2 linked regions of the Notamacropus eugenii genome follow. The protein of the gene in region 1 interacts with the protein of each later gene in a biochemical or structural test. Links are inferred from orthologs where the notes say so. Each region holds a gene or a part of one and is shown on either strand. Other genes may lie near its edges. The genes, in order: DRAP1 and DR1.

Region 1 (15,258 bases):
TCTGCCTTTTCAGGATAGCTCCTTGACCCCTTAAACCAGGAAATAGGAACTGGAGAAAATCCTGAGGTGGCAGAAAGGGTAAGGAAGGGAGAAGGCTTGGGGGTGGGCTGAGGGCCCCTCAGAGAAACCTCCTATGACCCCAAGTTACCCCCTTGCTACCCCAAGGATGAGAATCAATGAAATGGGGAGTTTCCCCTGAGGATGAATCAACCCCATGTGTCAGGTTGCCAGGGGCTAAGGCGCCTTACCGGCCACTCCCTCCCAGCACTAAGCTGAAGTCAGGGAGCCTCAGCCAGGGAAATTCCCCATTTGGGGGCTTTGAACCCCATCCAAAGCCAGTTGCTTTCCCTCGTCAGTCATTTCCTGTTTCCTATAACGCATCCCTGGCGTCCCTCCTTCTAGTATGATGGGGTCCAGTGTCCCAGGAAAGCTCACGGGCTATGATGGAGGTAGACAGAACTGGATGGATTCTCCTCCAGTTTGAGACACAAGCAACCAATCCCTTTGCAGTCTTTAATGGGTTGGGGAAAGCAGGATGGAGAGGGATGGGAAACAGCAGGTAGCCGACTGCTCTGCCTCTGCTTCCTTCCGCAAGAGAGGAAGGAGACATGGGGAGGCTGAGACAGATGGGGATTCTTCCCCACAACTGCTCCTATAGAGGCATCCCTTTTTCCCTTCCCAGAAACAAGAATCCTTTGCCTGGCACTCAAGGCCTTGCCCAATCTGGCACTGTGTATCTTTCCAGGTCTGTCTGGGATCACCCCGTCTCCACTCTACTCCAGTTGGCTAAAGAAAACAACTCTGTGATCCCCAAACCCGCCCCAAGGTGTTCCTGGAGTTTGGCCCTCATTGTTCCCTCTCTCTGCACCCTCCCCCTTCACCTGCAGAATTCTTCCCCATTCTCTAAACACCAGCTCAAATGACTCTTCCTCCAGGAAGCCTTTCCTGATGGGATGAGGATAGAAGAATTGGACAGCACTGTCTTCACGGGATCCACTTGTGCTCTGATGTTGGAAATTGAGGTTCTCTGGGTCTTGTACCCTTCCTAGACTCAGTTCCATAAGAACAGACCCAAGTTGGGTCTAGAGAAGGAGAGTAAAGTGGGGAGGCAGGACGAATAAGGGGGAATCACCAGAGAAGGAAAAAGGGAGTAAGAGAATTAGGCATTTATAGTGTCTACTATGTGCCAAGCTCTCTACAAATATGACTTTATTTGATCCTCCACAACCTTGTGAGGTGGGTGCTGTTATTATCTTTATTTTACAGATGAAGAAACTGAGGCCAAGTGAAATTCAGTGACCTGTCTAAGGTCATATACTAGTAAGTAGCAGAGGCCAAATCTGGGCCTTCCTTACTCCAGGCCCAGCTCTAGTCACTGAGACACTAGCTGCCTTTTACTGAAAGCACACAGCCCTCTGAACTCAGGAGAGAGCTTGAAGAAATGGCTGAGGGGGGCGAGACTTTTATCTGGGCTTCTGGGGCCCACAAGTGATCTCATTTCCTTCATCCCCCAAACCCGTGAGGGAGACAGTCTAGATAACCTTATCTTGGTGATGAGGAAACTGAGCTGTAGAAAGACTGGCCTTCCTCAGAACCCCACACCCAGGTCTCACCTGCCCACCTTGACCTGGAAGTCAGAAGACTGGGGTTCAGTTCCCGCTCTGCCCCTAACTGGCTGGGTGACTGGCTATGTTTCTTCTCTCAGCCTCTATCTGCTCCCTTCTAGGATTCAGATACTTGATCAAATTTGGCATAAGACTCTAGAAAGCAGAGTGGAGTGTTAGTGTCTCTACTGTTTAGTGGGATTAGAGGGCTCAGGTGCTCCTTGGCGCCAGGGGAAACTGAGGCACCTGCGTGTTGTCAGCAGGAACCAAAGAGATCCAGCAGCTGGAGGAGAGACGCCGGCTTGCCTTGGCTCAGGGAGCAGAGGGAGGAGCCTGGGGGGCTGGGAGAAAGCGTACTGGGGGAAAGGTGACTCCTCCAAGCTCCCGACTGTCCTGAAAGATGAGCCTTGGACTGCAAAGCCAGAAGGGAGCAGGAGGCCCCGAAGCAACTGAACGCGATGACTATCCCTGTGACCCCCACGGTGGCTCATGGGGAGAAAGCCACGAGTAACTAACTGTCCATGACTCACCTCCCTTCCACCTCCCTTCTCCCGCCAAGGCAACTCAACTCTGTGGCATCTCCGCTCCCTAGCCGTGGCATTCCGATCGCGTGAGGCTCCCGGTCCTGACTCAGCCTTCGCACGCAGCGCTGCGCCCCAGGAATTGGCAGTCAGAGACCACCCCCAAACCCCAGAGTAAAGGGGGAGGCCGGGAATAAGGGGCAGCCGTGGAGACCCGAGCTGGCTCACGAGATTCTACCCAAGTCAAAGGGACAGAAATGAGCGGAAACCCCAGTCCTCCCGATTCCCCCTCATCCTCCCTGCCTCCTTCACTCCTATTTCTCTGGAGCCAATGGCCCTCGGTGAATGAGCTGGGCATCCAAATAGAATGCTTCACAATCCAGCCAAGGATGAGTGGCGAAATAGAGTGAAACCAACACCTTATATTTTACAGCACAGGAAATTCCAAGTGGAAAAACGGTCTAGATGCGAAGTCACTCCATAAAAAAATTAGGACAATGGAAAGTTGAATTTTTCCCAGTTGTGAGTAGGAGAAAAATTCATAACAAGTGAAGGCATAGAAGACAAAATGGAAAATCTCAAATATATAAAGTGTAAATGTTTTTGCACAAATAAAATCAACGCAGCTAGAATCAGAGAAAAACATATGGATTTGGGAAAATCTTTCTACTAAATATTTGACAAAAATTCAATAAATATAGCTTGTAAGGAACTGATATAAAGATGTTTAAGAACCTCGACAGAGAAGTTTACCAAGAAATACAAATGACCAATAACCACTTGAAAAAAATTTCAAAAACACAAATAATCAATTAAGTTCAAATTATAATCCTGAGACAGCAATTAGACAAAAGATGTCTTTTGAATGAATTCCACCTTATGGTAGCAAAGATACTAAAAAATGGACAATTTCATTGCAGGAGCAGTTGGGGAAAGGTAGGCAAACTAATTTATTGCTAGTGAAACTGTCCAACTGCCCGGGGAGGTAGGGGGACGTAGAACTAAATTGTTTGTCCCCTTTGACCCTGAAATCCCACAACTGGGATGATACTTTCAGGAGGTTAATGACAGAAAAAAAAAATAACTCCTGATATGCCATAGCGTTGATGTAGCATTATTTGTGATAAACAAAGATATGCGCCCAACAGCTAGGGGCTAGTCTGTGAGTGTAAAGGAATATTCCTGTATTTTAAGGAATGCTGAATCTGAAAAATCCAGAGGATCACATGGAAAAAGGAAGTAATGTCAATGAAAGAAAATAGGGTCAAAATTGTGCCAATAGTGTCACTATGGAAAAGCAAAGAACTCACGGCCAGGATAGCTGTCAGAGTTTTCACCCTGCCACCAGTTAGGGGACACATCTCCCTGACTTTTCTGTGCTCAATCCAATGGGTTTTTGGGGAAGTGCACCAGCTTAAAAGGGTACAGTGAGGTACTCTGGGAAATATCTGTTCTGTACAAATGAAAGGGTATCAATAAAATTTAAAAATAAAAAAAAAATCACTCTTTGGCTTAGGGATCCCTCCAAAAGGGTCAGAAAAAAATGTATTATTCCAATCCTTCAAGGGCATGAGATTCCATTGGTGATGACTGGAAGGGGACTGTTATTTTCATTTTAAAGTTGCAGAAACTAAGGCAAACAGGGGTTGTGACTTGCCCAGAGTCACACAGTTAGCAAATGTCTGAGACTGAATTTAAACTCAGGTCTTCCTTCCTCCAGGTCCAGGGCTCTATCCATTACACTACCAAGCATCTCGAATGGCTCTTTGGGTGGCCTGTAATTTTGATGTTTTGGGAGATGACAGTTTTCCATGATATTCAGCCATACAGCTGAGTAGAAGCACTTTAAAGGCATTTAAAGAAAGGTGGGTGTTTTTGGTTGGTTTTAGTGAGAACCTTGGGGATCATTAAAAAGTACTGCACAATTTCCCAAATGAAAGTCAGCACCTTTACGGCATCCAACGTCTACCTAAGCACGTCAACCCAGACCACAGACAGGTTTCATCCACTTGGCTTTCCTGCCTAGATAGTTACTGTGTGTGCGCTCTTGAGGATGCCCAGCCAAATGCAGTTCAGTGCAGTCAGCAGACTCTGCCAAGGGGAGCATCTAGATTCTAGGAGATGCCATTCTCTCGAGGGAAGGGATCCTGGGGGGATGTGGCAAAGGCCTCTGTTGGGGAGCATCCATTTCTCATCATTCATCAGAGGCTCACTGAACCAAACAGGAGGACTCTACTATTTTCATCTTTCAAGGATCCCCATATGATTCTCACATGCAATGTTACAAATAAGCCAGGAGGTAACTTGAAATCTCCCCCAGCTCAGAACCCTCCCTTGGCTGTAACTGCCTCCCTCCTCCCCCTGCTTTGAGGCCTAACTCAGGGGCCTGGTCTTCAATGACTCCCAACAGGTGGGAACAAAATGGTTTATGAGAACACTGTCTGTGGAAATAGTGTAGAACAAAAGCTCCTTGAGGGCAGCAGGCTGTTCATTTTTCTTTTTATGCCCAGCATGGGGCATAGAGCCTCGTGCCCATTTCTGGGAACATAATAAATGCTTGTTGATTTAAATTAAGTTTTGCCCTGAGAGGCAGGAGAGAGGTTTGGATTGGAAGCTAGAAGACATAGGTTTGAGTCATGTGACCTCTGTGCCTCAGTTTCCTTATCTGTAAAATGGGGATACTCACTACGCTCCCTACAAGGCTGTTCTGGGGATCAAATGAGAATATACTGAAAGCTCTCTGTAAACTACTACGTGCCTAGAGGTACCACAAGGCAGCGAGCAAAGTTGTTGCAGGACTCAGTCAGTCAACAAGCATTTATTCAGGACTCACTAGGCACCAGGCACTGTGCTAAGTGCAGACAAAGGAAAGCTGTGGAGACAAAGAAAAGCAAAAAACAGCATCCCTCCCTCCAGGGGCTCACATTCAAATGGAAGAGACATCGTATTAATGACTGGGACACAAGATATATACAGTGTAAAGGAAAGGAAGGCAGTGAAGGTGCTGGGGAAGGCAGGAGGCAGAGGTTGAAGAAAGAGCACTGCAGGCACGGGGCACAACCAGGCTTTGCAAAGGCCTGGAGTTGGGAGGTGGTACCGCCTGTGCAAGAACAGACCAATACCTGGATTATGAGATTTGAGGGAAGGAATAAAGTGTCAGAAGACTGGCACTTGTGAGGGGCTTTCATGCCAGAGCATCATCAAGCTGATCCTGGAAGTGGTGGCTGAAAACCAGAAGCACACAGTCAGGCTTGTGGCTTCCTTGGTCCCAGCAAGCCTCCTAACCCCATTCCTCATCACATCAGAGCTGACCAGCTGCCACCTGGATCTGACAACCAGAGGAGCAGGAGGGAGGGGTGGGCTGAAAACAAAGGTGGGCTTTATTGAAGCCAGGGAAGGAATAGTAGAGGAACGGGTTGTAGGAACTGCAGGCAGAGCAGGGAGCAGCAGGCACCTACCCCACGGGCCCCCCCTGCTGGTGGCCCCGTCCACACTCAGGACTACCAATCCCAAGATGCAACACTCCACCAACTCCTAGGTGCTTTGCCATCCAGGGATGGGGTGGAGTAGCTCTAAGCAGGTGGAGGGAGCCCAGTCAAGGCTCTGGGCAAGTAACTGAAACTCTGAGGAACAGGGTCCCGTTGGCCCTCCATCGACTGGACCAACACAGGGAATAATGTCACGTCTCTGCCTCCCCTCCTTTCCTGAGGCCTGACATTGGTCCCCAAAGCCAGGAAGGCAGACCGCCCTGCCATGGGGACTGATTTAAGAGCCAGAGAGCTGCCCCAGAGGGCCGGAATGATTGTCTGTGCCTTCCCCACCCTAGATGTCTTGGCTCCCAGCACCCGAGTGCCCACCCCCCCTAAGTCAGTGCTGTGTTGTTGAGCCTGTCCAGGACTCGGGAGTAGTGGGGGTCACTCTCCAGGTGGTAGCTGCTCTCATAGAGGGTAGGGCAGAGGTGCCAGCGGTTAGCACGGTAGATTCCTAGGTAGGTGTAGACATCTGGCTTATAGGTCAGTGGGCACTTGACCCCAGCTGCCCGGATGGCGGCATCAGCCTTCAGCACTCCTTCCTGGTCTGTGAAGTCCTCTGTGTAGACACAGATGACCTGACGCTCCTCTTCCTGGGCCCGGGGGCTCACTTTGGCCACTTGTAGCTTCCCCTCCACCACAGCCCTGGCAATGCCAGCCCATGCATGGTCCAGCTTGAAGCCGGGGCTCAGGTGCATCAGCCACTTGCCGGTCAGGACCTGGTGAGTGAGGGCCAACTCCCGCAGAATAGCAGGTGTGATGGGCCGCCCGCTGGCCTGTAGGGCTTCCCAAGCCCCCTGCAGTCCCTGGACATCCCCAGCTCCAGGGGAGAAATCAGGCCCATACACTGCAATCCAGCCCACAGGCTTGGGATTGGGAGCGCTGGGGCCCCCATAGCGAGAGACACGAGAAGGAGGGTAGGCAGCCAGCCAGGAGTCCAGCTCACAAGGCGGGGTGCTGCGGGCATCGAAGACCAGCCAGGGGTCCATGTCGGCTGCCATGGCCTCAGCAGCCAGATGCTCGGCCGTGAAGCCATCCTCCTGGCCCCCAGGGGGGATCTCTTCCTCCGGCAGCTCCATCCTGCGGGGAGGAGGAAAGGTGAGGCCCCGGAACCCCCACCTGCGAGCTGGGTGCCTGCAGCAGGGTCAAGAACCCCTCCCCCTGTAAAGGATGTCCCTTGCAGTGCCATCCTACCATCCCGCTCTTTGTGGCCCTTTAGGGACAGAGGGCGGGGTGTCCCAGTGGGTGGAGCGCCGGCTCGAGGCTGGGAAGCCCCGAGTTCAAATGCGGACACTCACGTGGCTGCTCCCTGTCCCGGTATCCCCGTCAGTAAATCGGGATGATGCTAGCCCCTGCCCCTCCCCAGGGGGTGGGGAGACCCGAATGAATGAACGCAGGGAAAGCGCACGGCAACCCCCGCTCGGCCCTGGCTGCTAGAGGACGATCCCAATCACTAAGCCCCCGCCCCCAGCTCTTAAAGGAGAGAAGCCCTCGGATGGATCCCAGCCAAGTCGCCAGCTCGCCTTCGGGGAGCCACAGTCGGCCCCGCCCCTCCGGCTCCTCCGAGCCCCGCCTCCCCTCCCCCGCCAGAGGAGGCGCTCGCCGCCGCTCGCCTCTTCCCCGCCCCTCCCCCCGGCCTTGGCCCCTCCCGGCTCCCGTACACGCCCCGCCACGGCCGCTGCCCTGGCCCGAGTCTCCGGTCTCGCGACCCCGCTGCCTGCCCTCAAGAGCCAGTCACCTCCGCCTCTCGCTCCTCTCCGTGCCAACCCGGCCTGGCCCCCGCTCTCTCCGGGGCTCTTCTCCGCCGCGGGCCCTCCGCTCCGCCCACCCTACGGCCGCCGCCATCTTGGGCCGCCTGCCGCCTCAACAACAACTTTATCGGCAACCGCCGGCCGCGGTCGTGGACAGCCAGGACAGAGGGGGCGGGGGGACGGGGGAGCGAAACTCCTCCGGACGTGGCAGAGGACGCGACCAATGGGAAGCAGGGCCCCTCCGCGGAGGCGTGAACTCGCGGAGGGCGGGGCCGTTGAAGGCGTTCCTCCCGCAGCAGGGAGGCGGGGCGAACGTCGTCCTCCGCGGGTCTGTAGGAGGAGAGGTGCCGGAGCGAAGCGGCCGCGAGGAGCGAGGCGGGGCGGAGCGTCCGCGGTGGCGGGGGCGCTAGGACCCGGAGGAGCGAGCGGCGGCTCGGCGCTAGGACCCGGAGGCGCCGGAGAGGCCCGGCGCTAGGACCCGGGTGGGGCCGCAGCCGGAGCCGGAGGAGCCGCGGCGGCGGAGCCCGAGGAGCCCGAGGAGCCGGGGCCGGAGCCGGGCCGGGGCCGGAGGGCCGAGGCCGAGGTGCGGCGAGAGCAGCGGCGGCAGCAGGAGGCCACGAGATGCCGAGCAAAAAGAAGAAATACAACGCGCGCTTCCCACCGGTGAGGACCCGGCCCCCGCGGCCGCCCCCAGCCCCGGCCCCGTCTGGGCCCTCCTGGCCCGGCCCGTAGCCGCCCCCTCCCTCGGGTCCCACCCCGCCCCGCCCAGGGATCCCGGGGGCCCCTCCCCCAGCTCCTCCCCACCCTGGGACCCCCGCCCCGGCCCCTGCCCCTCCCCCGGCTCTCGCTCCACACCTGGGCCCCCAGCGGTCCCCGCTCCCGTCCCCGCTGCACCACCGGGCCGCCCTCTCCCCCGGCCCAGCGCCCGGACATCCTTCGATGATGGAGGTTCCGGAGGGGGGTGCCCTGGTACCCCTCCTCGAAGCTGATCTCTGCCTCCCCCACCCCAAGGCCAGAATCAAGAAGATCATGCAGACGGACGAGGAGATCGGCAAGGTGGCGGCGGCTGTGCCAGTCATCATCTGTATCCTGGGCCGCCGGGGAGGATCGGGGACAGTGGGGCTGGGGCTAGGAGGTCGAGGGCAGAGGGGCTGGGGGCTCAGGAGGCCGGGGACGGTGGGGCTGGGGCTAGGAGGTCGAGGGCAGAGGGGCTGGGGGCTCAGGAGGCTGGGGACAGTGGGGCTGGGGCTAGGAGGTCGAGGGCAGAGGGGCTGGGGGCTCAGGAGGCCGGGGACGGTGGGGCTGGGGCTAGGAGGTCGAGGGCAGAGGGGCTGGGGGCTCAGGAGGCTGGGGACAGTGGGGCTGGGGCTAGGAGGTCGAGGGCAGAGGGGCTGGGGGCTCAGGAGGCTGGGGACAGTGGGGCTGGGGCTAGGAGGTCGAGGGCAGAGGGGCTGGGGGCTCAGGAGGTTGAGGGCAGAGGGGTTGGGGGCTCAGGAGGTCAGGTACGGTGGGGCTGGGGGCTAGGAGGTCGAGGACAGAGGGGCTGGGGGCTCAGGAGGCCGGGGACGGTGGGGCTGGGGCTAGGAGGTCGAGGGCAGAGGGGCTGGGGGCTCAGGAGGCTGGGGACAGTGGGGCTGGGGCTAGGAGGTCGAGGGCAGAGGGGCTGGGGGCTCAGGAGGTTGAGGGCAGAGGGGTTGGGGGCTCAGGAGGTCAGGTATGGTGGGGCTGGGGGCTAGGAGGTCGAGGACAGAGGGGCTGGGGGCTCAGGAGGCCGGGGACGGTGGGGCTGGGGCTAGGAGGTCGAGGGCAGAGGGGCTGGGGGCTCAGGAGGCTGGGGACAGTGGGGCTGGGGCTAGGAGGTCGAGGGCAGAGGGGCTGGGGGCTCAGGAGGTTGAGGGCAGAGGGGCTGGGGGCTCAGGAGGTTGAGGGCAGAGGGGTTGGGGGCTCAGGAGGTTGAGAACAGAGGGGTTGGGGGCTCAGGAGGCCGGGGACGGTGGGGCTGGGGGCTAGGAGATCGAGGACAGAGGGGCTGGGGGCTCAGGAGGTTGAGAACAGAGGGGTTGGGGGCTCAAGAGGCCGGGGACGGTGGGGCTAGGGACTCAGGAGGTTGAGGGCAGAGGGGCTGGGGGCTCAGGAGGCTGGGGACAGTGGGGCTGGGGGCTCAGGAGGCTGGGGACAGTGGGGCTGGGGCTAGGAGGTCGAGGGCAGAGGGGTTGGGGGCTCAGAAGGCCGGGGACGGTGGGGCTGGGGCTAGGAGGTCGAGGGCAGAGGGGCTGGGGGCTCAGGAGGTTGAGGGCAGAGGGGCTGGGGGCTCAGGTGGCCGGGGACAGTGGGGCTGGGGGCTCAGGAAGCCAGGGTTGAGGGGCTCAGGGCTCCGTCAGGCTTCCCTGATTTTTCTTGACCAGCTCCTCAGCCAGGGCATTAGAACTGTTTTTGGAATCCCTTCTCAAGAAAGCCTGTCAAGTGACCCAGTCTCGGAATGCCAAGACCATGACCACTTGTCACCTGTGAGTCCTGCCAGGGAGGCCCCACTCTGCTCCCCAACTCTGGCTTCCCCCTTGGTCCCATAGGACACATTTCCATTCTCCTTCTTGCCCCACCCTCACCCTTTCCCTCTGCCTCCCTCACCTTTGAAAAGATCATCTGATTCAGAATCAAAAGACCCACATTGGAATCTCTGTTCTGCCCCTGACCTCAGCCAAACCTGTTCTGGGCCTCAGTTTTCTCTGCTGTAAAATTAGGGGGTTAAATTAGAAAGCTCCTAAGGCCCCTTCCAGTTCTTCATCCCAAGAGCTTCTGTTGCCCTTCAGTTCCCCCCACCCCCAAGTCCCCCTTCCTTTGGAGCCTGAAGGAGGAGCTCAGCCCCTGTTATCTCCCATCCTAGGAAACAATGTATTGAATTGGAGCAGAAGTTTGATTTCTTGAAGGACCTGGTTGCCGCCGTGCCCGACATGCAGGGAGATGGAGAAGACAATCACCTGGATGGGGAGAAAGGAACCCGAAGGTAAGGGGCTACAGTAGGACATTCCCCCATTCTCCTCTGACCCACCCTAGCAAGGTGTTGTGTTTCAGAGAAAATATTTCCAAAATCTAACCAGCACCATATACAAAGTGGAACAGTCACAAAATATTTATTCAGCTTGCTATCGTGTGCCAGGCACTGTGAAGCCCCAGATCTCTCTGTCTGTCTCTGTTCATCTCAGGGCATCCCCCCACCCCACCTCCTCCCAAAGAAATGTCCCATAAAACAGATAACATTTTTAAAGAGACAAAATCAGCAGACGCGATCAAATCTTACAAGTCTGGGAACCTACAGCACTCCAGACCTGTGCACCTCTGCCTCGGTGAAGGGAGGAAAGGGGGAGGGAGGCTTCCTTTCTTTATGGTTTCACTGAAGTCCGGCCAGTTTCCCTTGCCCAGTTGCTGCACTGTTGAAGCCCACCCACACCTGATTCTCCTCCTTTCTTAAGTTCATATAAATCTTCCCAGAGTCCCTTTTTTCACAGCACATGGTATCCCATTATACTCACGTCATACTTTGTTCCGCCCTTTCCCAGATGAGGGGCTCCACTTTGGGTTCAGAACTAAGCAAGCTGCTGTGGATGCTTTTGTATACAGTGTGTTCTTTTCAGTGGTGTAGATGAGTCCAAAGGGTATGGATGGTTTCATACCTCTCTGACCAAAGGTCTGAGCTGTCCTGGGTCCCTTGGGAATAAGAAGGTTTCAAAGCCACTGTGAAGAAGCACCTTAGGGCTTTCCTGGCCTGATTCATTCGAGCCTCACAGCCGAGCTGAATGGAAACGTCTTGAAGTCAGACCCTGGTGTTTTGTGTCCCCTGTAACCTTGCGCATTCATAAATGTCCGTGGGACTACTCATGGTACTTGCTGTCCCCTTGGTGTTTCCACCTTTTAAAGTAACCTTTAAGGGCCTTTCTGGTTCTAATTCTAGGGGCCGGAAGCCTGGGAGCAGCCGGAAAAACGGTGGTGCTGGAGGAAAGGGGAAAGATAAGAAGCAGTCTGGGACAGACTCGGAGCAGGAGGTGAGCTAGCCCCATCAGACTGTCAGCTGAGGACAGGACCTGTCTCCCTTAGGTCTGTCCAGTGACTGAGCCCCAGGCTTCTGAGAGGAGGCCATCAATGCCTTCTCCTCTCCCTGCCTGATATACCTGGGCAGTCAACATGGCCCCTTCTCCCTGAGCTCAGGGGGTCTGACAGCCTTTTCTGTGATTCGTCCCACAGGATGATTCTGAAGACACAGAGACAGATGGGGAGGAGGAGATGCCACAGCCCCCACCCCAATCCAGCCGGCCCACAGCCCAGTTCCAGAGGTGAGGTTGGCGACCTGGAGGCAGGAGTGGGGAGCATTGTAGGTGGGGGGGAATGTGGCTCAGGCTGGGGGTTGAGGGGATCTGGCTCAACCCAGTACCTGTCTGTAATGTCCATACCACCAACCTCCCAGCACCCATGGTTCTCTAGGGTTCTGGTCTCGAGGATGCCTGTGCAGTTAATCTGACAGCCTCTCTCCTTTCTTGTCTCTCTGCTCCACAGCCCTCCGGCTCCTTTTCTCCCCTTTTCCTCCACCCTGCCTCTCCCTCCAGCACCCCCTGCCCCTACAGCTGTTGAAGAAGAAGAAGATTATGACTCATAGGCCCTCCCCCCTGGCCCTCCCCCCCCTCCTCCCACCCTCCACCCTCGTTTAGTCAATTTTAGTGGCTGAGGGTGAGGTAGGGGGTAGGGGAGGGCCTTCTTAAATTTATTAAAAATTTTTAAAAAGAAAGAGGCTCCTGAGTATTTGGCCCCCTCCTCTGTCCTGCCTCCCCCCAGATGTTTGGGAAGTCCCTTCTCCCATAGACATCACTTTCCTGATCTGTAAAAGGGGGCCATTGAGTCCAGTGTGCCTGGAGAGTGGGCAAGCTGCCCTCTGCCTTGGAACCTTGGCTCAAACGCTTCTTCAGCCCATTCACCCACCTCCTCATTTGTAAGCCAAGGTGGCTACCCCCTAGGGCTGCCCAGGGCCAGGATCCTCGTGCTGCCTCGCCTTCCCTGGCTGCCCTGCCTTGGAGTCTGTCAGGGTCACTGGAGTCCAGACAGCCCACCCTCCTCTCTACTTCTCTGCCCCTACCCCTGGCCCGGTGATTGAGGGTCACTGAGGGGTCCCAGCAAAACTTCTCTTTGGATGCCAGTGACTTAAGAGTGGTGGTCAGCATATAGGGGTACAAAGGCTTCTCTGGACACACACACCCCTGCCCCCAGAGAGGTCAAAACCAGAGGTATGTGATGGCGCACAGTGAGAGGACAAAGGTGAGAGCATTGCCCATTGTCCAGGCCAGCCCCTTCCTCATGTTACAGATAGAGAAACAGTTCCAGGTCACATATCACCTGAATTTGAACCTGGGTCCTCTGGCCTCAGCTCTTTTACTCTTTCCCATGCAGAGCTAAAGCCCGATTGAAGATGGCGAGGGGAAATGGGAGGGCAGTTTTGAACATAATTGTTAGGGTTGATGGGTAGATCTAGACCCTGACAGAAGACCCTGTCTTCCCCTGCTCTTTCCCTTGTTCCCCCTCCCCAACCTGTCTGCCCAGGGACCCAGCTTGGGGTGAAGGGAGGAAAACAGGAGCTTCATCTTTAAGTGACTGCTCTGGGCCAAGCCCTGAGGACACACACAGTAAGGGAAGAGGGATTTTAATAACTTTTAGTGCCCACCCTGGGGAGGGGTGGGCTTTATGGTATGCAGATGGGGAGCGGGAGGGGCCACCCTACAACACCCACCCCACTGCCCTTTGTTTCTATAGGCCTTTCTATTTCAAGATACTTAAACAAGACCTGAAAATACCCCTATCCCCACAGGTCGGTAAAGCCCAGGAGTGGAGCTGGCTGGGTTCTGGGCCTTCACCTGCACTGACTCTGTTAGTGCCCTAGAGAACATCTAGGCCACCCCCTCTTATTACAGATGAGGAAACTGAGGCCAGAGATGTGAAATGTCAAGGCAAATGTCCCATGTAGCCACACTGGTCGTAGCTGCTCTCTGCAGACAGCCTTCAGAGGTTTGCAAAGCATTGTAAATGTCCTAATATTTCTCCCTCTACCACCATAAGGCAGCAACTGTTCTCATCCCAGTGACTGGTCAAGAGAAGGGTAGGTCATGGAGATGGGCAGCATCTTAGTCAGATTAGGTCCCAACAACTCCATTTCCCACTTTCCGTCCATTTGTCTTGACCCCTAAGTAGAAGGTGGCTGTAACCCAAAGCTCTCTGGGGCTCCCCTTCTTCCAGCCTCCTCCCAGAGGGCAGTCCCTTAAAGGTCCTCCCAAAGTGAGTTATGGACATGGTCCTGTCTGCTGAAATTCACATGTTAATAGTAACCAGGGGAGTGAGGCAGGAATCACTGGGCACGTCATCCTAGATATAGTTTAATCACCCCCCCCACACACACACACACTTTCTGCATAGAGCCCCTTTGCGCTCAGTGTGGCAGAATCTCCAAGTTAGGCTTTCCAAATGATCTAAATACCACATGCTATTGAGATGCTTCAGCATCTTGGCCGCCCACCCCCTGCCCCACTTATACCCCTCTACCACCACCCCATCTCCCGGACTCTGTGCACTTCAGCATGGTCATAAGATTTGATGCCTAGAATGTAACCCAAAGAGTATCCTAAGGCTCTGCGACAAGGAGTCTTAGAGGCCACTTATTTGATGCCATCATGTGATCAGACTCCAGGTGGGTTCATGCCTCTTAACAAGACCTAAGACTGCTTTGCCATTCTTGGCTATTCTCACGTTATTGGGTCATTTGGAGCTTAATGTCCACTAAGAACCCCAGATCATTTTCATAGGTTCCCAAGAGCTTTCTGGGCTCACAATGTCCTGAGGTTCTTCTGCCTAGACAAGGTGAGACTTGAGCTAGGTCTCAGTACCAGCAGTACTGGGCTTGATGAGAAGAAAAGGGAGGAGAAAGTGAGGCAGAGTGGAGGGAAGTGGAAGCAAGCAGAGCCTACAGAGATCAGGCATGTTTACAGGCTGGGCCTTCTGGCTTCTAGAAGTTTCATCCCATCGACTCCAGGAGTCAAGAGAGGCTCCAGCTTTGTAGGAGCTGAAGGTGTGCGGGGAACAGTCTCCCTGGGCATCCCAAGAGTTGACTCTGGCTCATTGCCCAAAGGAAGCAGAAGCAGTAGGTGATCCCAGCACCCTGGGACACTAGGCATTTGGAATCCCTCTCTCCCCATGGAAAGAGGAAAAACATGGAGGAGGTGGGGTAGATGGTCCAGCACTCAGGGTCCTGAGCAAACTCAGATGATCACAGGAAGCCAGGACTTGAAGAGGCCACCAGTCTGCCCTCCTTTTACAGAGCTGGTGACTCTGAGACTCAGGAGAAAGGACTCACCTGGGGTCCTACCTCCAGCTCCACCCTAGGCCAACCCACTCCAAGGCCATCAGGCGAGGCAATGCTGTGGGCAGATACAGATTTGTTTTTTAAAAAATAAGTTTTTATTGATGTCAATTTTTGGAATCAGCATAATTTCTCCAGGGGACACAGTGGATAGAGCACTGGGTTTAGAGTCAGGAAGACTCATCTCAATGAGTTCAGATCTGGCCTCAGACACTCACTAGCAGTGTGGTCCTGGGCAAGTCACTTCACCCTGTTTGCCTCAGTTTTCCTCCTCGGTAAGATGAGCTGGAGAAGGAAATGGCAAACCACTTCAGTGTCTTTGCCAAGAAAACCCTAAATGGGGTCACTGAGAACTGGACACACCTGATACGCCTGAACAATTTCTTCCAGTATCCCTTCTCCTGGCCCCACCCAGAGAACCATTCCATGTAACACTATTTTATAAAGACAAAAAAAAGGGGG
Region 2 (15,258 bases), about 250 Mb from region 1:
AGTCTTTTGTCTTTGTATCCCTGGCAGCTAGGTGTTCAATAAATGCTTGCTGAAAAAATGGAGATGCATATTTTAAAAACTCTGAAACTGCAACATCGTACTCATCAAATTGGCAAAGATGATAAAACTAAATGCTAGAAAAGTCTTGTGAAAAGACACACGCTAATTCATTGTTGGTGGGTTTGTGACTTTGCCTAACCATTTGAAAAAACGCTTTGGAATTATGCAACAGAATGAACTTTTTGTACTCTTTCTATTTCATTAGTGAATCGAGAATACCCAATGAGGAAATCATCTGCACCAAAGTACATCAACAACTGATCTTCAATTTAAAGTCTTACCAAGCGTTCCTTAGAAACTCTGAAAGGTTAAGGGACTTGTTCCGGATCACATACCCAGTTATGTGTCAGAGGTGGGACTTTAATCGAGATCTTCCTGAATCCACTACATCTAATGCTTTATTGGGTTGAGCAATGCAACTACTAGGTTTTAACCTCAAGCACATCAATAACAGAAAGGTTCAATGTGTAACAAAAGACCCAAAGCAGCACTGTGTTATAGCAAAATGATGGAAACAAATTATGTGCTTAATGACTAGAGAATGGCATAATGTACTATGGTATACAAATGGATCTATAAGCTCATCATTTTGGAAGTTCAACTTGTGCAACTCTTAACTCTTGCCCATGTCCTCTCATACTCCTTTATGTACTTTACTGTACATTAAAATTAAAATTATTGGTATATGCCTTCAAAGAATTTAGTATCTACTATGTGGGAATATGACCTATAAGGTATACAGATAAGTAGGATAGTAGGTAGAACATTGTGAGTGCAAAGGAAAGATTTAGGTGAAGTTATCACAGAAAAATCTGAAGAGGAAGAGCTCACTTCTAGAAAGGCAAATCATGAAAGGCTTCACAGAGGTAGAAAACTGCAACAAGCCTTGAAGGAACAAGATTTTGACAAGCACAAAAGAAGGTACTGGAGATTTATAATGGTTCCTTGGGCCCATCTCCTGTTCCTGTCTCCACACTTCAGCAGTGGCTGTGCCTATGCCTGGAATTCACTCCCTTCCTCATTTCTGCCTCTTAGAATCCCTATTTCTTCAAATTTAATTCAAGTGCTCCCTTCCACATGAAGCTTTCCTTGATCTACCACTCATCTTTCCCAAGCTACCAATCCATCCTCTCTCCAAAACTGCTTTACACCTATTTCTTATGTATGTGTGCATGTATATGTTTGTGCACACACACATTCATATACACACACATATATATTTGTGTATATATTTGTGCCTATGTTTATCTGCCCTGGTAGATAGCATCTAAGCTCCTCGAAAGTCAAGTCTGGTTCATTTCTCTGTATGCCTGGCATACAGACGGCTCCTAAATAAATGCTTGCTGACTGTTAGGTTCACCAGAAGGTTTCACTCAACTTGCAAGTGGCGTTTCTCTCTCTAGTCCTTTTTAACATCATGTCGGTACTAAAGTAGCATTCAGGCTATCTACTTGCTATTTCTGATTCTGGTCTATCTCCTTTTCTGCTTATACATTTCTTCATTGATGTCTACTTCCATGCAGGTCATTACTGGTAAAATGCTAAACCAACCTATACCCAGTTTTTTCATTGACCTGACATTTGTTACCTGACATCTGATTCTTCTTATATCATGAAGTTCCACTCATAGTCACATGAGGCTTTGTATAACAAGACTTTTCAAAAATGACAAAGAGTTATCAATGAATCACAATTCACAAATATTCCTAATAGAATGAATTTGCATACACTTTATTTTTAAAATATGGTACAGATACTGAGCTAATATTTTAAGACATTTTGTAAGATAAATGTCACTCACTACCTAACATATGTCTTGCAAAAAAAAGGAATACTTTTTACAGTGATTTATTATCTAGTAATAATAATCATTCCAGTTTTACATAAATCTCAGGGGTGTTTTAAAATCTAAGAATAAATAAAAAGTCAAACCTTTAAGAATTGTGAACAAAAATAATCACATTACAACAGATACATAGGAATATAGTAAAAAAATATAATAATAATTACAATGTGGTATGATGGGAAAAATCACTACCTAAATACAATATTTAACCACGTATGAGTCATCTTCATACATATCTACGAATTATGAAATCTGGCACAGTGGATAAAGTGCCAGGCCTAGGTTCATCTTCCTCAGTCCAAATCTGGCCTCAGACACTAAGCTATATGCCCCTGGGCAAGTCACTTAACTCTATTTGCCTCAGTTTCTTCATCTTTAAAATGAGTTGGAGAAGGAAATGGCAAATCACTCCAGTATCTTTGCCAAGAAAATCCCAAATGGGATCACAGTCAGACACGACTGAAAATGAGACTGAGCAACAAACTGACAGCTAAACTTTTTAAAAAACACTACAAAAAAGTAGTTACTGAACATGCTTAAAATGACACTTCAAAATGTACCAGAAACTGGTCAGTAAAAGAAACTCCTATGCTGGTAAATATCATCAATTGAATGACTTGTCAGGAAAACAATACACACGATGACTACCATAATGTAAAGAAAAAAAAGCAGCAAAAACAAAGCCAAATTCGGTGTAACTATAATTACCAAGAAATCTTGGCCACAGGGAAGAGAAAGGTGGGAGACTGTTTCTGGTCTCTTTTAACCTCCACCTCTAAGCACCTCTATGTTCTATTGCACAAATTTCGACTTTCAGTATAATAATAATCATAATAACTCAAACTTTAAACCCGCCTACTAGAGTGCCCCTCATTTTAAGAGCAAGGGATAATTTGATGGACAGACAGCCTGTGTGCTCCACTGGTATTCCCATACTGCCCAGATAAAGTAAGGAATGTCCCCGGAAGATCAGATGGACACCCTATGTATGAAAGAACACAGATCAGTCACAGAGAATGGGCAAGCACGGACAGTTTTTAATCTGCAGCAGAGGGAGTACCCACATGGATGACAAATCCACTGATTATGCCATGAAAACTACAAACAAATCACAAGCCCCTTTGGAAAAAATTATCCTTTTGTGATTAATTTTTTAAGGATTTTAACTTTTTTTTCCTATTAAGACAGGTAAGTAGAACAATAAAGCACTGGATCTGGAGTCAGAAAGATCTGAGTTCAAATCCAACCTCAAATCCATAGTGAACAGTGAACAGTAACAGACCTTCAGTATAACAGAAAAGAGCATTGGGATATAGTACACAATCAGGGTTGCAATCCTGAATCTTCATTCTTAAAAAAACTTAACTTCTGTGCCCTTCAGTTTCCCCATCTGTAAAATAAAGGTATTTGACTAGACTGCATTCTAAATGTTTTCAAGTTCTAAGTCCTACAATTCTAAAAATACAAAACAAACATATGACATCTAAAGCCCTCAAAAACTATTTCAGAGTTGACTCTGAGTTGAATATGACACTTAAGGCAGGCAGCACAAAGGATAAGGAGATGGGCCTAGAGTCAGGAAGCTCTAAATTAAAATCCAGCCTCAGGCACTTACTAGCTGTGTAATCCCAGGGCAAGTTACTAAGCCTCTGTTTGCTTCAGTTTACTCAACTGTAAAGTGAGGATAATAATAGCACCTACTTCACAGGGTTATTGGGAATAACAAAATATTTGTAAATCTTCTCTCCCCTCCATCCACTTTACTTTTAAATTGTGTACAGGACGGAGGAAACCAAATTTAGGGTTTTTTCCCCTAAGGCCATAAAATTTCTAGTGAAGATTCACAAATTCAGTGAATGTTAGAGACAGAATGGGACTTAAGAGATCATCTAGAGCAACCCTGATTTTACAAATGAGAAAACCAGAGACCTGAGAGGCTCTCTTCCAATAAAGCAACAAAGCAATATGCTGAAATCTACACCCGAAAACACATTCAGAGGCAAAGGTAGCAACATAAAGCACAATCTAAGAAACTTAGAACCTTTTGTAATGAATTGTGACTTCACACAAAATACTAAATGTGTTTTCTCTCAACTTGATATAAAACAACTTTTCAAAATAAAGCATACAGCTGATATCATAAACTTTTTCTCACATTAGCTACTTTACAGATCTATTCAGATTAATTGTAATCCTTCCTTCTTTATCTTTTTATTTCTAATGACTGAATAATGATGATTTGCTGAATCCACCCTTACAGTGGATTCCCACTTAAGAGTGCTCCCACTCTTAAGAAAGTGGCAAGCAAAATGTCCAGAGGCAAAAGTCTAATCTAGTTTGTTAAAGAACCCACCACTAAAAGTCTAAATTCTTCGGCAACCTAAAACCACAAGACTTGTGCAGCTTCCTCATCTGTGTAAATGGTGTTAACTGAAACAAATACTTACAACAAAGTAGGCACCATATCCACATCTATATTTTCATCTGCAATTTGCCCATACTTGCCAACCCTAAGTTTCCAAAATGTAGAGACATTCTTTCTCTGCAAAAACACTAAGAACACATCTTTTAACAATTTTTAAAAAAATACCTGCAGTGAAGGACCTCCCAAATAGTCTATATCATTTCCAATTTCTAGGAGTGGGGAAGGGAAATAGAGATGGTGTTTATAATAAAATGTGATTTTACAATAAATAGAATCAATACCAAAAAGGAACAATTAATTATAGCAGTTCCCATAATGTCATGTAAGCAGCACTGAAAGCAAGAAAATTTGCACACAATCCCTTGCAAGTTACTAAACTTCTCTCTAAGTCTCAATTTTCTTTTACATAAAATAGTCTACCTCAAATAGCCATTATGAGACTCAAATGAGATACTGTTCTCAAAGTAGTATAACTTTCAACTACTATCATAATATTATCACATTATTTGTAAAAATGTTATGTGCTGGACACAGTACCCAGCACTATATAAATGTTCATTCCTTTTCTCCTTCCCCTATTATTGTTGTTTATAAATTAGTAAAATAACTTTTACTAAGGTTCTTAATTCTGGATTCACTGGTTAGTGACAGGTATAACCATAAGTATTCAGAACTGAACATATTCTAATGTTGAACTAATATTGTTTGCTACAACAGCACTTTCAAGCTATTGTGTTAACATTAAAAAAAAAACATAAAAAAAAAAAACCTCTAAAATTGATTAAACTCTATTAAGAAGTTCATTTGCAAATCGTTATTAGATTTTGGAAAGATCATCATTTCAAAGGTGTGAAAAAAATGTTAAAGCAGATTCCTTTAAAGTCTCTTGTATTTTTACATGGCAGTCAATGTTGACAAAGGAACCTTTCCATTTTTATATGAATTGTAAAAAGAAATTGTATTCTGTGGGGGATAATGTTGTATAAGAAAAAATGTTTCAGTAGTTGCACAATACAAAATAGCAATATAAACAAAAGAATATCTTTACCTTTCAAGTTTTGGGCTTAAGTATGAAATCAAAAAAGCTTTTAAAAGAATACACTTTCACCATGAATCTATTAAAGCAGTCAACCTGGTTTACTGGAGTTTGGTCATGTCCCCCCCCTTCACTTACTGAGAAGTCATGGTATATTTTAAACCTACTTTCAACATACCAAAAAGGAACTACAATGGATCATTTAATTATTTTGTCAATATCGACTGTAAAATGTCACCAGTGCAGTAACAGGTACATTTATTAGCATGATACCACACCTGTACAATGCTAGAGTGCAAGTATTTTCCACATCACTGTGATAAGACTATTTCCATATATATAGAAATAGCAACTGTGAAACTCAAAAGGTAAAAGGCAAACTAGAAGCCCGCTTAAAGTTTTGATTAACTGAATTTTTAAGAAGCAATGGAGACACAAATTAGCAAGGTTGAAATTTATATTATGAAATAAGGTCATCATTTCAAATTTAAATACTTTTCAAATACTAAGTGGATAAAAGAAAAATGAAAAAAGTGTCATACTGCCTTCCTTAAGGAGGGCAGTCAGTACTCACTCAGCCCCAAGACCATGGTGATGTACTAAGTCTCCAGAATATCTCCATCTCTTGACACTTGACAGCACCCTGCACATTTTCTACTGCTAACTGCTGAAGTTGTTTCAAAGTGCCGTTCATGAATGGCTGTCTGTGTAACTCCGAGAGAGTGATTCAAGGGGGTGAACAGAAAAAAATTTAACGTAAAAACCCTTGTTATAAGCTACTGGCCACATGCAATACTTTCTCTTTCCAGTTCATAACCTGTCTGTGGGTACGCAAAACTGAGGCAACGAGGGCCAAAGTAACATCCTCTTCGGAAAAGTTATGTCTGCCTCCACAACAGAAATAAAAAACTTTTTTATATTTCTTGAAGTACTCATGTAATAAGGAACTCCACACAGTAGAAGAGACGGTACCTTTGGTTTTCTTTCAAACACCCATCTTAGGCTAAACATTTTTGCTCTCCTAACAAAAAATTTCGAAGGGTGTTCACTTGCTCCCCATCCCAACCCTCCAAACTAAAGACTGTCTGTAAAAATGAAGCCAGAAACCTCGTGTTCCTTTTCCAGTCGGGCTACGATCTAGGTGACTGCCCTGGGGCAGGTGCTGAATCCCCTCATTCACCGTACCCCTCCGAGAGCCCCCTCCTCACGACCCACTATCTCCGCGGGAGGTGTCGCGGGGCACAATCATTAACCATGTCTGTGCCGACGCGCTCGGGGGTGCCCCACACCATGGGCTTCCTCTCCGGAGCGGCACAAAGGAAAGCAGCCGGGGCCGGCTCCCTTCCACGGCCCCAGCGCCCCCCGCTTACCTTGTATGACGTGTTCCGGGGAGATGGTCTTCTTTTCGGATTTGTTGCAAATCTCGTTGGCCTCGGAGGAGACGAGGTGGATGAATTCAGTGCAGCAGTTCACCACCAGTTCCCGGGCATCGTTGGCCACTCGGACATTGGGGAGAGTCTCTTTGATCATCTTATTGATAGCAGCTCTGGGGATAGTGAGATCATCATCGTTGCCAGACGAAGAGGCCATCGTCTCGTCTCGTCTCGCCCTCCCTTCTCTCTCTCCCGGGGTTTAAAAAGTCCCTGGTTCTGGACCACTGGCCCGCAGAGACCAGACAATCTTGCTCACACGAGGACCCGGCCGCCTCTGGGGGCGGCGCGGCCGGGGCACAAGCCCACAAGCCCGGGAGAGGGTGCTGAGTGTGTGAGTGGGTAAGGGGTGACTTGGGATCGTGAACACGGGAGAGAGAGGAGCCCGGCGTGCTCCGGGAAGTGGGGCAGCTCAGAGTCGCCTCCTCAGAGGGGCGGGCGCCGTCCCCCGAACCCTGGTGCGATCCGGGGGCCTGGCCTGGCCGCCGTACCGGGCTGACACCCCAGGCAGGGGGCTCGGCTCTAGAGAGCCCGAGCCGCAGCCGCCGCCTCCGCCGCCGCCACCACCTGCTGCCGCCGCCGGCGCCACCAAACCATTCTTCGGGCACCGGCACCGACGCCGCCGACTCACAGCATGTCGGCCGTGGCGGCCGCCGCTATCGCCGGGAAGAGAACACGGAGCGAAGTCGGGCAGACGAGGAGCCGCAGTGGCGGCCGCCGTGGCCGCTTAGCCCGGATGCAGATCGCGGAAGCCGGAGCGGAGAGAGAGACGGCTTCTCCTGAGGCCGGGGCAAAAGGGTTTGCCAGAAGCTGCTCCCAAGAGCCTTTGCGCGGCCGGAAGCGCCGGCCTCCTCTAAACTCCTACTTCACTTCCGGCGAGGAAGAGCCGCTGCCGCCCTTCCCCCCCACGGGCGTTCGAAAGGGTCCGGAGCGGCAGGCTCCGGCGTCCTCGCGGGCCTCAACGGCCACTTCTCGGCGCAGTTTCCCCAGACCGGTCCCAAACGGCCCCGCGGCCTAGGGGGGACCCCGAGGAGGGCAGGCCGAGCCTGGCCTCCTCGGAGGAAGCCCCTTGGCTGGGGGCGCGGAGGGGGCCGAGCAGAATCGATCTCGAAGCCGAAGGGCAGCGCGCTCCTCGCGGCCCCTCCGCCGAGCCGGATCTCGTGCCCGGCCCCCGCCCCGTCTCTGCCCGGGCCGGGGGAAGGCGGGCTGCTCTGGAAGGAAGCGGAGGAGTTAAAGTGTTAGGAGAGGGGCCAGGCTTTAGGGCTACAAGGGCCGCTGGGGCGTCGTGGGCCGAGAGCCTTTTTATGTGTCAGTTCGAGGGTGAGGGGCGAAAAAATAGCCCTCCCTTTTGGTTCGCCTTTAGCCCTAGGCTCCATCTTCACCCCAAAACTGCATACTTGTGCGACTGGGTATCGGAGAGGAGAGAATGCTGGACCTCCCCAAGGGCCCCTTGGACCTGTGTGTGCCAAACCTCAGTTTATTGAGAGGCCTGGGCTAACGAACGGACTTGTGAGGTCTCCTGCCCCAAATCTGTGATTCAAAGAGCCCCCTTTGGGCCTTGATTTCCATCAGAATGGGGATGGGAGGCTTTTGGATGCCGTGGATAATGGGGGCCTGCTGGAGACGCTGCTGCTTTCACTCTTCCCAGCTGTGTGATCTTGGCAGGGCACTAAGCCTCTGGGTTGTACAAGTATCAGTCGGCATTGATGGAGGGAGTTTCCATGCCAGAAGCCTCCCGTGCTGCTAAAATCCCAAGTCTAGACCCATCTCCAAAATATGGATAATGGGAATTGGGCTACCCACCCCAAGGGGGTTGTTCGCAAAGCACTCTAGAAATGTGAGTTACTGTTTTTCATGGTCTCTGGATAAAGCTATTTTTCTCCATTTTGTGGCATCTGGTTGTTTGTGTTTTTTAATTTAAATTTTGTCAGCAGGTGCTGACGGTGACTAAGGTGGAGTTAACACCCTATGGAGAAATGGTGTGAGAATCGGGGTTGATGGTATAGTCAAGGCCACTCCTCGATATTTGGCTTGCCCGGAGTGCATTTCCAAGGGCACTCTCCCTCTTTGCTTGAATATATCATAGGCGTATCTTAAGCAAATAATACACTGGGGAGACAAAAATGCTGGAAGGGCTAGGTAGAAAGAAGAGTAGGAGCCACCAGGAAGGAATACAGGGGTGAGAGACACTTGTAATATTTATTTAAATGCACATAGTTTTTAATGCTATAAAATTCCACCCTTCGTGGCAGGTAAATATTTATATTGTGATAAATCTTAATGTTACAGTGACAATTCCTGTGGAACGTACGTGCAATTTTCAAACCTTGCTTAGTTCTCACAAATGCCTTATCCTACTTCTTATTCCAGGAAGAGCATGTCATCAAATTCTCCAAAGTTAGTGCTTTTAAAATTTAAAAACTATTCCATACAGTGATTTGTGAGGAAAAGGTCCCCTCATTCAGCAATGATAAAGTATTATTTTAATATCAAAAAGGGTGAATTTCTCTGCTATAGGTTTTTTTTAAAAGCAAGTTGGAGAGAGCCATTCATTAAACCTGATGGGTCTTTCAGTTCATCAGATTGCAAACTGAAATAGTTATCAGATTTTTGTATTGTCTTCTGAAACCACAGGAGTTTTGTTATGGTGAAGCAGTTTGAATATTCTAGCCTTATCCCTAAGGTTGGAGAAAGGTAGTCAGCTGGTTTATGAAGGCTTTGTTGTCATTTACTTATTTTTTACTCTTTATGATTCCTTTTTTAGAGTTTTCTTAGGAAGAACACTGGAGTGGTTTGTCATTCTCCAGCTCATTTTCAGATGAGAAAGCTGAAGAAATAGGGTTAAGTGACTTGCTGAGGGTCACACAGCTAGTAAGTGTCTGAGGCCTCATCTGAACTCAGGTCTTCCTAACTGTAGCTGGGGCACTCCCTCCACTTGGCCACCTAGCTACCAAGGCCTGCTTGGGCGAACTAACTTTTCTTGTAATGAATTAAGCAGAGGGGGAGTGCATTGCATTAGGAAGATAGAACAACAGCCCGGGGTACCCTTCAACCACAATTTCCACACTATACCAAGTACCTTGTGACTTTTACTGCTCAAGAGTACTTTGAAGTTAATCATCCCCAGAACATACTGGGATTAAGTGATGCATAAATTGGCTTGTTTGTCTGTGATGCCAATGACTGTCAGAAGGAAAAAATAAAACGTTTATAAAAGACAAACATTGAGTGTATTTGCCCATTGAGGTGAGCACGCAGGGCTTTTTCCCCCAGTGTCTAGCTGCAGCTCAAATTGGTAGAAACTAATAGCCAGTCAGTCCACTCGTACTAAACAGCCTGACGAATTTGAACCAGTCAGTTCATGGAGCCATCCATTCAGTGACTTAGGGGTGGTCAAATCTGTCTTCAAGAAAAAATGAGGATAACAAATCAATGGAAGAACCTTCCGGGAGAAAAAGATCGTGTAGTCCGAGCTGTGATTATATAATAACCAAAGATTACAGACTTTAGTCTGTAATCAGACTACCAAGTAGTTACTTTATAGAATTAGATAAAATAATAAAATTACTTGGAGGAAAGAAAAGGTCAAGAATCTCAAAGGAAATAATGAAAAAAGGTAGGAATGAGGGGAAGTTAAAGTTACCAGATTGTGAACAGTGTTATAAAGCAGTAATTGTCAAAACTTTTAGCAATGGTTAAGAAACTGATTGGTGGGAAATGAAGAAGTACTCAAGACTGAAATAAACATAATAGTCTAATGTTTAATAAGCCCAAGAGCACAAACAAAAAAGAACACAACCTCTGCCTCAGTTTCCTCAGCTGTAAAATGGGAATAATAATAGCACCTACCTCCTAGGGTTATTGTGAGGACCAAATGAAATATTTTTAAATTAGCACAGTCTCAGACACATAGTAAGTGACAAGAGTTGCTGAGAAAGCTAGAAAGTAATTTAGCAGAAATAAGGTTCAGACCAACTTCCTACTCTGCATACCATAATCTACTACAATTGAGTGCATGATCTAAATATAAAAGATCACATCATTTTCAGAAAATTGAGGATAATATACAGATGTTTCAAGTTTAGGGAAGAAAATTTTAAGGAATAGATATAATTTTAAGAGAATAGGTAATTTTGAATACATAAAAATTAAAAAGTTTTTGTGTAAGCAATTGTCATTAGAATAAGCTGTGAACTGGAAAAAATCTTCGTATCAAATAGATAACAAAATGATGAAAAATTGGGTCAGACAGAAGACACAGAAACCAGAGAAATTCATACAGAAAGTACCATAACAAGGAGACCCACAGAAACTAAAAACTGCCTTAGCAAAAAGTTGATAGTTAGATGGTAGCCAAGGTCCTCACCAGTTTAGAATATAAAATAATTTGCAAGTGTCTGGTAATTGTTTGATTTGTAAGATATGTCAACTAATATGAACAGGCAAATAAAAAAGAAGCTATCAGCCATTTAAAATAATGCTCCAAATCACCAATTATAAGGGAAATGTAAATTTAAACAACTCTGAGGTTTTACCTCATACTGATAGGCAAGAATGACAAATGGTAAATGTGGAAGGGGCTCTGGGAAGACAGGCACATTAATGTGCTTTGGTGGAGTTATTGATCCAACCATTTTCTGGGAAATAGTTTGGAATTATATTTAGAAAATGAACTAAACTATACTTATTTCTTGACTGAGCAATATCACTACTGAGCATATTCTCTAGAGAGGTGAAAGATATTGTGAAAGATCCCATGTATACACAAATATAGCAAAACTTTTTGTGACAGCAAAGAACTGGGAACAAAGTTGAGATATGGTTGAACAAATTGTGGTATATGAATGTAAATGGATTTTGAACCATCAGAGAGGAAAATCAATTCAATGAAACCTGTAAAGGCTTGTCTGAACTGATGCAGAGCAAAACCAGTTCAGATTCAGAGAGATTAAAAACTTGTCCATGCCCATTTCTTGATTTAGTCCAATGCTTTTTCTACCCTACCATACTGCCTTCAAAGAAAACTCTGACTCAATAATTATCAAATACTTTTTTTTCCTTTTGATTTGCTTTGAAGGGCATATTACCAGCAATAATGCTCAGGAAGATACTTCCAAGATGGAAAAACTTCTAAAATAAGCCCAGTGACATACTGTTTTGTATATACTAGATGTCTGTCATCTGGGAGGCAGTGACCTAATTTTGGAAAGACTAGCTGGAAGGTCATCCACATTCTGATGAATTGTTTAGGCCGTGGTATGGAACAGTAACCATAGGTGTATAGGGATTGGGCTCCACTTAAGGGAATACCCCACGTTAACTGAATTAGATTCTTTGAACTATAATTAATAGAAACATTAGAAATTTATGCAAAAGCATAAAGAATGCTGATAAAAGCAGGTCTCCTGGGTAAATACTTTGCTCTTTCTAATGTACCATGCCACCTGAGTATGCACAGCTTCAGACAGAACATTTCACACCAGTATATTTGTTTTGCAAAATACCTTTACATTCTCTCTTTTGACCACAGATGTGCTTTCTGAATGTAGCTACGGAAGAAAAGGCTTAAAAAGGCTGTTGATTTTTCTTTACAGCAGGAAAGAAAAAGCTCCCCAACCCTTTTTTTCTCAGTGGTGGGAGAGTAGTTTCAATTCTCTTTTCTATATGAATTTCAGTTTTAAAGATCTCTATTTTAAAACTGCAGAATCTTATAACTCTCACTTTCTCTAAGTATTTGTAATATGTACCTCTTTAAGCTAAAGACATTTGTGGCTATATGATGAAAATATTTGTGTTAGTGGAGTACATGGAGTGTCTGGGAAAGTTTTAAATCTGTGGCATGACCTTGTCTCAACTGATAATACTCATATTAGTTGTCAAAAAAGCATTTTAAAGGAAAAAAAAAAGTACCTTAGCCTGTCACTGGAGACTTTGTAGTTGGAGAAATGGAAAGAGTGGTGTTTAGTAATATAATCATGCCACAAATTTTGAGGGATTCTTGTCTTCTTCATAGAGTAAGCAGTTAGAATGATTGTGTTTGGCAATGGCTTGTTGCCAAGTATCTATGGGTAAAGAAAGGAAACAAGCATTTATTAAGTTCTATCTATGTGTCATGTACTGTGCTAAGCACTTTACAAATGTGTCATTTGATCTTCACAACAAACCTGAAAGATGAGTGCTATCATTTTCCCCATTTTAGAGTTCAGGAAACTAAGGCAAAACTTAAGTGAATAAAAGGATGGTTTTCCCAGCCATTCTCATCATCCTTCTCTTCATCCTCACCCAGATGATTAGTGACTGAATTCAAAGTAGCTCACTTTGCTCAGCCCTAGATGCCAAACTGGGTTTGAGCTTCACATGACAGCCAGTGATCCACCTAAGTCATCTCATAAAATATCACAAGCGTTCTTTCCGTTCCTTCCTCCCTTCCTACCTCTCGCTCTGCACATAATAAATAAATAGTACTATTGTTTCTGGAAAAGACATATTGGATACACCAATCTGCCATCTCAGTGACTTCTCCTAACCAAAACTCCTTTTTCTGGTCATCATTCCCTTATGTGTTGTTTTCCCCCATTAGAATTTGTACCCCCAATGTTTAGTAGAGTATCTTGCACATACTAAGTATTTAAATGCTTTTTCATTCATTTTTTCATTCTTATAGACTCTTCTACTAACATGTTCACCTACCTGAATGTCCATACATGTCCATATAACTGAAGTGGGCCTTGGAGATCATCTAGTCTAACCCCTTCATTTTGAAAATGAGGAAACAGGTGCATATAGGTTAAATGGCTTGCCCATGGTCATACAGCTTTTGTGTCAGAGGTGGAATTTGAATCTGGGAATTGGAATTCCTGCATCCAAGTCCAGTATTACTCCACTATACTATACTGTGTTTGAGATACAACTCAAAATTCAACTTTCTATTCCCAAGAGGGAATAGAAAGGCCATTCCCAAGCCTCCCAGCTGCACATTCTTTCCTCTCTAAGATTACCACCCATCTACTCTGTATGTGCCTATTTATGCACATGGTGCCTCACTAAGAATGTAAACTCCCTGAGGAAAGGTACTTTTTTTTTCCTTTATATTCCTAGTAAACAGTGATTAACCATTGATTAAATGTGTTAGGGGAATGTGAAGTTCTGAATCATCCAAATAAAGTTGGCAATTGAAAACATGACTTCAAATGAATTTTCCAAGAGAATGAAGACAGAGAGGAGCAAAGGGGTGTGGGAAAGACCTTTGGAATATACCTACAATTACAAGTGCCAGTACAAAAAGAAAGAAAAAGAGAGGAAGAAAGGAAGAAAAGGTAATTCTGGCCCCAAAGGGGGTTGGAGGAAAGAAAGGAGAAAAGAAAGAAAGAGAGAGAGGGAAGGAAGGAGGAAGGAAGAAAGGAAGAAAAGAAGAAAGAAAAAGAAAGGAAGGATGAAAGAGTAACCCCAGTCTCAAAGAAGGTTGGAGAAAAGAAAGAAAGGATAAATTGATAATTTGTTAAGTACTTACTGAGGGCCAAGCAACATGCTAAATGCTGGGAATACAAGTAAAGCAAAAAAAGAAAATCATGCCTGCCCTCATGAAGTTGTAAGATAGAAAGGTAGTCTAGAGAATCAGGATCAGAGCTGAGTTAGAGCTGAGTTAGAGTTAGACTGGCCTGAGTGTTTCCTCAACAGGGGGTTCCTGAGGAACTCGCGAATAGAGGAAGAGATTGTGAGAGTGGAGGTGTCTTCAGCGTGAGAAGGCTGCTGGAGATTAGAGAGCAAGGTGGAAAAGTAATCCACAAAGAACCTGGATAGTTCAGTGTTACAAAAAACAGAAAAAGAGAGAGGGTCAGGAAGCAATGGGTAGTCTGCAGTTTCAAATGTCAAGACCAAGCTGTTTCTTTAAATGGCATTATACTTCAAAGTCCTAGTTATATTGCTTAAGTATACTGTATCGTGAATCTTTCCCAAAAGTCCCATCTATGCCAATTCTTGATCATGCCCTAGAGGGGACCTTGGGTTCTCAAAGGTTATGTCAATGGAACACGAGCTCTGGCAATTTCTACCAAGCTACAAAGGCTTTAACTAGATCTAATGACTGCCTATGTCTGCTGTCTAAGGAGCAGCCTAGCAAAACTCAGAGGCGTTTGTTACTAAAAACACTGGATAAGTGATGAATTTTTTTTGCACAGTTACCCATGAAAAACGCAAAAATGCAAAATGATCCTCAGTATGTATAACCCTCTTCTATTTCTGTAGGGATGGCAGTAGCAAAAGAGAGGAGCTTGGGAGGCAAGAGAATAAAAATACTTTTAGACTACCTACAAACATGAAGAGTTTGTACTCTTAAATATTTTTCCAAATAACAAGAACTGATATACTACTGGGCGAACTGAATATCAGTATTAACGTTCTTATTATAAATAAAGCCAGAAGACAGACATAAAGAAGTTTCAGCTAAAATAAAGTATGGTTT

What was found.
Region 2: the proteins of DRAP1 (region 1) and DR1 form a complex in vitro, tested with the Homo sapiens proteins (2 studies listed by BioGRID). The link is inferred for Notamacropus eugenii from reciprocal best matches to the Homo sapiens genes DRAP1 and DR1.

What each region holds. Positions count from the first base shown.
Region 1 is NC_092873.1:18,623,704-18,638,961, forward strand, and holds DRAP1 (dr1-associated corepressor), read left to right. Parts: upstream 1-7,800; 5' UTR 7,801-8,027; coding exon 8,028-8,069; intron 8,070-8,417; coding exon 8,418-8,490; intron 8,491-9,819; coding exon 9,820-9,913; intron 9,914-10,290; coding exon 10,291-10,410; intron 10,411-11,355; coding exon 11,356-11,446; intron 11,447-11,645; coding exon 11,646-11,734; intron 11,735-11,954; coding exon 11,955-12,054; 3' UTR 12,055-12,183; downstream 12,184-15,258. Other genes in the region: C2H11orf68 (UPF0696 protein C11orf68 homolog), read right to left, coding at 5,988-6,735, 7,394-7,500. UniProt on the Homo sapiens protein: The association of the DR1/DRAP1 heterodimer with TBP results in a functional repression of both activated and basal transcription of class II genes.
Region 2 is NC_092873.1:268,269,187-268,284,444, reverse strand, and holds the start of DR1 (protein Dr1), read right to left. Parts: upstream 6,958-15,258; coding exon 6,738-6,957; intron 1-6,737. UniProt on the Homo sapiens protein: The association of the DR1/DRAP1 heterodimer with TBP results in a functional repression of both activated and basal transcription of class II genes.